2 linked regions of the Drosophila melanogaster genome follow. The protein of the gene in region 1 interacts with the protein of each later gene in a pairwise test. Each region holds a gene or a part of one and is shown on either strand. Other genes may lie near its edges.

What was found.
Region 2: the proteins of TfIIEalpha (region 1) and TfIIEbeta interact in a two-hybrid assay, tested with the Drosophila melanogaster proteins (2 studies listed by BioGRID).

The regions. Positions count from the first base shown.
Region 1 is NT_037436.4:11,679,846-11,684,432, forward strand, and holds TfIIEalpha (transcription factor IIEalpha), read left to right. Parts: upstream 1-2,192; 5' UTR 2,193-2,377; intron 2,378-2,455; 5' UTR 2,456-2,466; coding exon 2,467-3,562; intron 3,563-3,630; coding exon 3,631-3,824; 3' UTR 3,825-3,960; downstream 3,961-4,587.
Region 2 is NT_037436.4:4,285,013-4,289,061, reverse strand, and holds TfIIEbeta (transcription factor IIEbeta), read right to left. Parts: upstream 2,025-4,049; 5' UTR 1,913-2,024; coding exon 1,851-1,912; exon of another isoform or gene 1,779-1,850; coding exon 1,674-1,778; intron 1,599-1,673; coding exon 1,436-1,598; intron 1,376-1,435; coding exon 1,085-1,375; intron 1,029-1,084; coding exon 771-1,028; 3' UTR 713-770; downstream 1-712. Other genes in the region: CG1316 (uncharacterized protein), read right to left, coding at 3,144-3,215, 3,293-3,463, 3,531-3,637, 3,790-3,887, 3,946-4,009.

The sequences.
Region 1 (4,587 bases):
GTGCGGCCCACAAAACTGATGCACTAAGTCCAGTAATGGTATCTTATAATTTCTATATATTGTTTTTAACACATTCAAATCATGCAAGAGGGCTTTGAAAACCAACCTTATCCTTGCTTGATTCTTTATATAATGCTTGAACTCTGCGTCTCATACAATAAAAATCAATTTGGCAAAAGTGGCGGCGCCGCGTTTTACCAATTTTCCTTTGTGTTTTTTATCGTGGCTCTTCCTTTTGCGTTCCGTATTCGCAGCGGAAAACACACAAAAACACCGAAAGAAAACACACACGCGAACGGAAAAACGAAAGCCGCAAGAAAGTCCGCCGTCTCGCAGACAGCGAAGGAAACTGCAGTAAAACGTTGGGAAAGCAGAAACACAAGTTTTTATTTGCACGCTTTTGTCGCCTGTAATTGTTGTGGCCGCCGTTGGAAAATTGTCGAGCGGAAAAGCGTGGAAAACGAGCGTTAGCGCGCACGACTCAAAATTCAAACTGCAGGCGGATGCCAACAGCGAAAGTGGAAAAGCCTTTTTCTGTTTTCCCCGCAACGAACGAGAGAGAGAGCGAGAGCCTGCGCACTGCCCGCTGCTCTCTCCCTCGCGCGCGGAAAAGAGCTTTTCCCATGGACGTAGTGCTGTAGGGTATCTATTGCTTCCTTTTCGGAAAAGCGTCTAAGCACTTTCGGCCTACTCCCCTGTCTGTGTCCACTTTTCTCGCTGAGTCTGCGCCCTGCCCTCCGCTGCAAGGTAAACAAGTTCAGGAGGAGTTTCCGCGGAGTAGTTTCCCACCCTTTGAGCGACTGGGCTTTTCCGAGCCATTCAGGCAACTCTGCAGGCTGGACGCCCGTGGGTGTTCACGTGCTGCAGTTGGCACTGTAAACATTTTAAAAGTTAAATATTCATTAATAGCAATATATTTTTATTTAATATTTCAATTTGTACAGAAACTAAATTACAGCATACATATTAGGATAAACCATCTTGCAAATAACTGAAGATTTGTTACAGTAAAGATTAAGATACCACATTCAAACGCGTTTCAATTTTCATTCATAACAACAAATATTTATATATGTATTTCAAGAAAAACCTTTATAAAAATTTTAAGTTAGAAAAGCGACAAAAAGTCAACTTATTGCAGAAGAAGTGAAACAATAAAGGCTAAATTTTGAGTTTTATATTTAGTTTTAATACTTTAAATGCTAATTTGATCATTAGTCAATGAAAGAATCTTTTTGATAGGATTTCCAGTTAAACACGAGTTTTTTTTTTGCAAAAATAATTTCTTTGGAAACTGATTCGTCGTGTTCCATAAATTTGCCTATTTTCTGTCTGTTGAATTGGCATTTGTAAACATGGAGCAGCTGATTCGGACTTCGCATTGTGCGTCCAATTATATCCATGACATTCATCGAGGACAACAGAAGTGTGTTGGCTGCCAAATAAACACGCAAGGAGACGTCTGCGCCCCCGACCTCTGATCCCGTGGAAAGTCCACCCCCGCGGCGGCTGCTTGGCTTCTGCTTGGCTTCTGCTCCTGTAGCCATGGTATTTTTTATGTGGGCGAGCCTCGTTCCGGGGGATTACACCGGAATGCACTCGAACGCAAGGCGAAGTTCGCATTAAAAAATAGACGACCCTAGACAGCGGAGCATGAAATATTAAGCACTTCGAGCGGATAAACAAAGGCGGCGAGAGGACGACTTGTTGGATTATTTTCACTCATTTCTGCGGTCAAAAACATTCAAAGCAAACAGCGCTCAGATGCGAAGTTGTTAGTAAAGCCATTGCACAAACATGTAAATGTAGTGCGTTCAAATCTGGCAAATTCCGTAGTAGTAAAAAGTTGTTAAAAGGTTATTTGGTTTCTAAAAAAATTGTTAAATGTATAAACACATTTCTACAAAATGCTTTCGAGTTAACAACAACATTATTGGTTTAAAGTAAATATAGCTAAATTATTTTCGTATTATTAAATTCTTCGCTAAATTAATGTCTCTAATAAAATGTTTTTCAACGCTACGTTTTTGAAATGAGTTTTTCAAAAGTTTGGTGTGGCAATGCCCTAAATTGTGCGGGCTAAAAATCGGTTTGAAGCGTAGCTACCCTTCTATCCAAGTGTTTCACCTAAAGGCGAGGCTTATTTAGGGGTTTTCGCGTTGCTTCGAGGACTTTCGAAGGAATTTCTTTGGCCACATTGCTGCACAAAGAAGAATTTGGCGGTGGAAATTTTATTTTTGCCGTGGAAAATCATACGAAATACGGGCAAACAGCGAGCAGATGACTGCCGGTAGACCCATGAAGATCCACGGACCCACTGCCTGCATTGAATAACCGCAAAGTGCTCTGCTTCCGGAGTTCCGGTTTCGAGAGTCTGGTAAGTGGCGTGAGGAGAGCACTCGCAACAAAAGGAAAAAATCAGTTTATATATATCTTAATAATGCCGATCCTCCAGATAAACACACAATGTCGTCGACATCGACGGCTGCAGCGAACGCAGCGCCAGCGAAGACGGAGGTGCGGTACGTGACCGAGGTGCCCAGCAGTCTGAAGCAACTGGCGCGCCTCGTGGTCCGTGGATTCTATTCCCTGGAGGATGCGCTTATCATCGACATGCTGGTGCGGAATCCCTGCATGAAGGAGGACGACATCGGCGAGCTGTTGCGCTTCGAGAAGAAGCAGTTAAGGGCCCGGATAACCACGCTGCGCACCGACAAGTTCATCCAGATCAGGCTTAAAATGGAAACGGGGCCGGATGGTAAGGCGCAGAAGGTCAATTACTACTTCATCAACTACAAGACCTTCGTGAACGTGGTGAAGTACAAGCTGGATCTCATGCGCAAGCGTATGGAGACGGAGGAGCGTGATGCCACCAGTAGAGCAAGTTTTAAGTGCTCTTCGTGTTCCAAAACATTCACGGACCTCGAAGCGGACCAGCTGTTCGACATGGCCACGCTGGAGTTCCGGTGCACCTTCTGCGGCAGTTCCGTGGAGGAGGACAGCGCCGCCATGCCCAAGAAAGACTCCCGCCTAATGCTAGCGCACTTCAACGAGCAGCTGCAGCCACTGTACGACCTGCTCCGTGAGGTGGAGGGCATCAAGCTGGCGCCAGAGGTGCTCGAACCGGAGCCCGTGGACATCGACACCATTCGAGGACTGAACAAACCCAACGCCACGCGACCGGACGGCATGGCGTGGTCGGGTGAGGCGACGAGAAACCAGGGCTTTGCCGTGGAGGAAACTCGTGTGGACGTCACCATTGGCGGCGACGACACCTCGGATGCGGTGATTGAGCGCAAGTCGCGCCCCATTTGGATGACAGAGAGCACTGTGATAACCGACACGGATGCTGCCGATGGCGCGGCCGATGCGGTGCAGACGGCAAGCGGATCTGGGCATCGCAACCGAAAGGAAAACGAGGACATCATGTCCGTGCTGCTGCAGCATGAGAAGCAGCCGGGCCAGAAGGAGCCGCATATGAAGGGTATGCGAGTGGGCTCATCGAACGCCAACTCTAGCGATTCCAGCGACGACGAAAAGGACATCGAAAATTCCAAGATTCGTAAGAAGCACCAACCATTTCTCGATCTCATCTTTTATGGGTTCTAATATACGTTTTTGTACTTGCAGCTGATGTCGACTTCGACAATTATATCAACTCAGATTCCGCGGAGGAGGACGACGATGTGCCCACTGTGCTAGTGGCTGGACGACCGCATCCGCTCGACCAACTGGACGACAACCTGATAGCCCAGATGACGCCGCAGGAGAAGGAGAACTACATACACGTATACCAGCAGCACTACAGCCATATATTCGAATGAGGGCGTCTGCAATTAGCCACGATTTCTACGTTTTCCACGAGTTTCCCATCTCACGCATAGAGTCATTGTAATTTAAGTTACCCACTAGTTCGAGCGAATGTGTACAAATGAAATGCGTATAAAAATGTGCATAAACAAAGACCGAGTTTGATACTGGGAAATATTTTGAGCAAAAAATTGTGTATTATAATTTATAGAAGCTATTGGACGTTTTCAATAATCTTCTAAATAGACAAATATTTTAAAATACATTAAAGCTCGTTATTTTCGCTTGTAAGCAAGTGCCATCTCTAGCTGGACCAACTCCCATCCCTAGTCGGTCCAATCAGCTGTGTTTGCCATTATTGTTTTTTTTTTTTCTTAGGTTTATTTAAGTGTTGCTAATAAAAAACCGAGCGGCCGGGCGCCTCTTCTTGTTCGTCGGTGGGCGTATTCAGTTTATAATAATTGGTGTGCCGCAGATAAGGCGGATTCGTAAACAAACGACGGCAAACACAACCAAACATGTTGACACTCGGCTCGTAACGCCAGCGGCTCCATTCAGTCGTGTTTTGGATGTCCATCTAGCCGGAGCCCTCGATTTCCGCGGACTGTGCGTGGTGCGGCACTCAATTCGTGCTAAAAGTGCGACAAGTTCCCTTGCACTTCGAATAGCCAACGAGCAAAAGTGTTGATTCTTTGAAAGGAAAACGGATTAAACCAACTCAGCGGATTCCAATTGGAGCAGAAACGTGATCCCGCGTGCAAAAACACACATGCAAAA
Region 2 (4,049 bases), 7.4 Mb from region 1:
AACTGGCGAATGCTTCGGGAATGATAATTAAACAAATTGAGTATTTCAAAACAAGTTTTTGCCGCCGAGTAGAGAGCTCATTGTCCGTGCCAAAGAGTCAAGCCAAGTAAACAAAGAATCGGATTTCATGCAAGTCCACTTATGAATACCCTATCTTTTAAATTGAACAAGTTAGAGGACGAACGATAGTTTGCAATATGACTGATTTACGAGTCGTATGAGCTATATTTTTGTCTATACTGAATATCGGATCTCTTGTTATAATCTTAATAGATTACAAATAGCAACACAATCTTTTTTTAGATTTGTAGAGTCCAATATATAGATAATTTTCCTGATAAGCCCGCACAACCGCCGTACCAAAATATAGGTTATTCCAAATCGATTCCAACTGAACTTGGCTGCTGTTCAGTGCAGACTAAAGCTACGGCTTCCCTCTGTTGCCAATTTAACTGCCCACCAGCATCGATTCTGGCCCTCGTACACGCACACCACCAGCCATCAGGTGTGGAAAGCAATGGGGAATGTCAGGAAAAGATTACATAGTTTTGCTTTTTAATTATCTTTCCCTGTGCCGGTCGTCATATTTTTAAGTTCAATGCCACAGGCAGAACAGCAATCTGGTACTATAAATCTTGAGGAATGAGATTTCGGCCACAGCGGATTCTTAATTAGATTGGCAGTGGTTAAACAAATTTATAACATCCAGTTTCGAGTGTACTTAATTCCATTGAGAGTGGTTTTTATTTGTATAATCTAATGTCTCTATTCTACGTTGGGTTCACACCCTTCAGCGTTAGTGTGTTATCCTCGTAGACCTCCAGAACGTCGGCCAAATGTTCGTTGTCTCTGGGCTTCTTGAACTGCCGCTTCTTGTTGGCCGCCTTCTTGCGCTTGGGAATTGCTTTCTTGAGGCCATGGTCCTGCATGGAGCGAATGCCCTGCTTCTCGAGGTACTCGTCAATCTTGGCGTCGTCCATTGCATCGACCGTAGCCGAGCGCCATAGCTTCTGGAACTCGTCGTCCACCTGAGACGGTACAATTGATTAGGCTGGGATTTTAGAAGAGTGTGTTTATAACCCACCGAAAAATTAGCAGTCCTGTCATTGTAAAATAAAATCTTCTTTTTGTCAATGGGTCTAACAACAAAAAGTATTTCGGCTGATCGGTTCTTCAGCACCTTTTCGCAGTGTGGTAGAGATTCCTGGACATCGTCCAGCAAAATGCCGCCCAGGCCCTTTAAATCATGTTGCTTGAGCAGACGCATCAGCGTTTTGCCATCCTTGATCTTGTAGACTGGCTTGAAACTGAACTTGGTGCCACATGGACTGGCTTCCACCTTGGGATTGTTGTGCAGAGCCTCGCTAGCAAGCCACTAAAATAGAGGAATAATGGTTTAATAACCTGCCACAACTTATCACGCACTGTAGCTAACATTCTTAACGGATTGCCCAATGTCCAGCTGGTTGGTCTCGTCCAGAATCTCATCGATGGTCAGGGGATGGTCGTCGCCGTCCTGGTGACGTGTGCGCATGAATTTCACAATCTTGGCCAGCACTCCAAAGCGGTACTGGGAACTGCCGGACATGGTCTTGTATCTAAGTATGGAATGCAAGAGTTCCACATGGTTAAGAACCATTTCTGGCAGTAGCAGAGGCTCTCAAGGAACTTACGTTGTGGCATCCAGCCTGGGAGCATTGGGCGGGCGCATTTTGCGCCTGGAATCATCGCTAGGCGGCGGTGGAGCTGGTCTATCGGGCTTGGACTTCTTTTCCACGCTATTTTAAAAGGATAGCATGTAATTTTCGAGAAGCAATCTTTATCAGAGGGGCCACAAGTGCGGTACTCACGTGGGCGTGGCCATCGCCCGCTTTTTGAAGGCCTCGCGTTCGCGAAGCAGTGCTGGATCCATTTCGAATGTTTTTTTTTATTATTTAGCTCTACGAAAAAAAACTTTCTGCTGCGAGAAATCAACAATTTACAAAATCTAAACAATGCCTGCTCAGCTGTCCGTGGAACCGGAACTTACCAGGGCTGCGACACTGAAGTTGTACATTTCGGAACTGGTTCATTTAACGACCTTTCAAAAAGTCCATTCGCTTTTAAAAAAAAATTTATTATATATATATGGAAAATCTGCATAGCGAGAATTAATTTGTTTCCCATTTCGCTTCCAAAGAAAAAAAAAACATTATTCCATTTAAGTGTATTTATTGTTGGCCTTATACAGTAGAATATCGTTTATTTAAATCTAATATATGAAAAGAATAATTTTTCACGCTGTGGCTTAGCGTGAATTTACGAGACAGAGTTGATACTCTTAAGAAATTCATTGCGTTTGAATTTATTGCTTGGCTGAATCTCGTCGGAATAAGTTTGTAAGAGTTCAAGTTACACAGAGAGTTCGTTTCTGTATCACGGGTAGATTCAAAAGTCCCCTAAGCGGTATGAGTACACATATATACGACACTATGCATATATTGTGTATATAGCAAGAGCATTGCGGTTTCGTTGGCTCCGTTTAAAGGTCGTATGGGTTATGGGTCTTTCTACGAGTGCTCTGTACGAGACCCACTTGAGTTAGTCAATTGGTAGAGAGTAGTCAACGGGTGTGGTGATTTCGTTGGCCTGTTTGGTTTGTTCACCCGGGTATGGTCTTCGTTCGCAGTTTCCGTTTCCAGTCTGCGTTCTCCAGTCCCCGTGGTTCTGGTTCATGTGGCATTCCGTACGGAGAGTGTTGTTGTGGTGGTGGTTCTTGTTTGGTTATTGGTTGGTTGTTGCGTTGTTTGGTGGTTGGTGGTCAGTTCAACTGTTTTTATCGGACTGTATGCTCAAGTTAGTTACGTTTTCGTACATTGCGTTCTCTGTAAGTTCTTGGTTGTCAGTGGGTCTGTGGAGATAGAAAGATAAAAATGGTTTGGCTTATTATGTTCGCGCTCAGTGGGCGGCATGGGTATCGTGGACATCGATGGCCAACCGGTGCACAGGGCAAGTGCAGCAGGCGCACATTGTCTTAAATCGCTAAAAGGTTTTCGGTTTGGAATTTGCACAGCTACTTACCTCGTACCACGGCACACACTCAGTTCAATTATGGCTACATTAATAGATACGGAATTTATGCATACTCAACTAGCTACTTACACTCAGTTCCGTCTCAATCGCTTGCGACCGCCATCATCGCCGTCGGAGCCACTTCGCTCCTCAGCCTCCATGACCTAAAGTAAGATAAAAATTTAAAATTGATTAGAATTGCTTGCTTGTCAGCAACAGAACATGAGTACACGGTACAAACCTTGATTTTGGTGCCGCAAATTTCGGCTCCGTTTAGGGTACGAATGGCCAATTGAGCACTCTCAACCTCCGCATACTTGACGTAGCCACAGTTCTTGTTGGGCAGAAGGTAGACGTCGATCAGTCCCGACCAGCAAGAGAATATGTTCTTCAATATCGAATGCGGCAAGTTCTGAGTAGATGGGAAAGAAACAACGTTTATAGCTAATGGTAATTGGACACGGTACAGTGATACCTACCGCTGAGAGCACAATGAACAGTCGTTGGGCCACCTGGTCGTCCGGCGATGCCAGTGGCTGAGTTGGGGGCAAGGGAACATTGCAGATGGCATCCTTTTTGGTTCGCTCTAAAATAAAAAACCACATTAAGTCTAGAAATAGGAAATATCATGCATTTTAAGCCAAAAATGTGCTAAGAAATAAACCAAGCAAAAGCGTTTAATAAATGGCTACAGGTGATGGCGCGGCCTGTAGCCCTTGATAGGTTTAACTCGCGTACTGTCTATGAAGGATGTGTCCATGCGAGCTGAGCTCATTCCATTGACTTTGACAATGATGCGTTCGCCCATTGGGTACTCCAGGCCATGAAGTTTGTCCCTAAAGAAGAATAGTGTTTTAAAGCCTGCATGAAAATGAGTTTTAGGGCTTTGTTTACTTGGCATAAATGGCGGCTTCTGGGTTGTCGTACACCACTAAGGCCTCATTGGTGCGCGGTCCATCTACAACGGAGATATAAGTAGTTCAAAAGGGGTTTGAAAC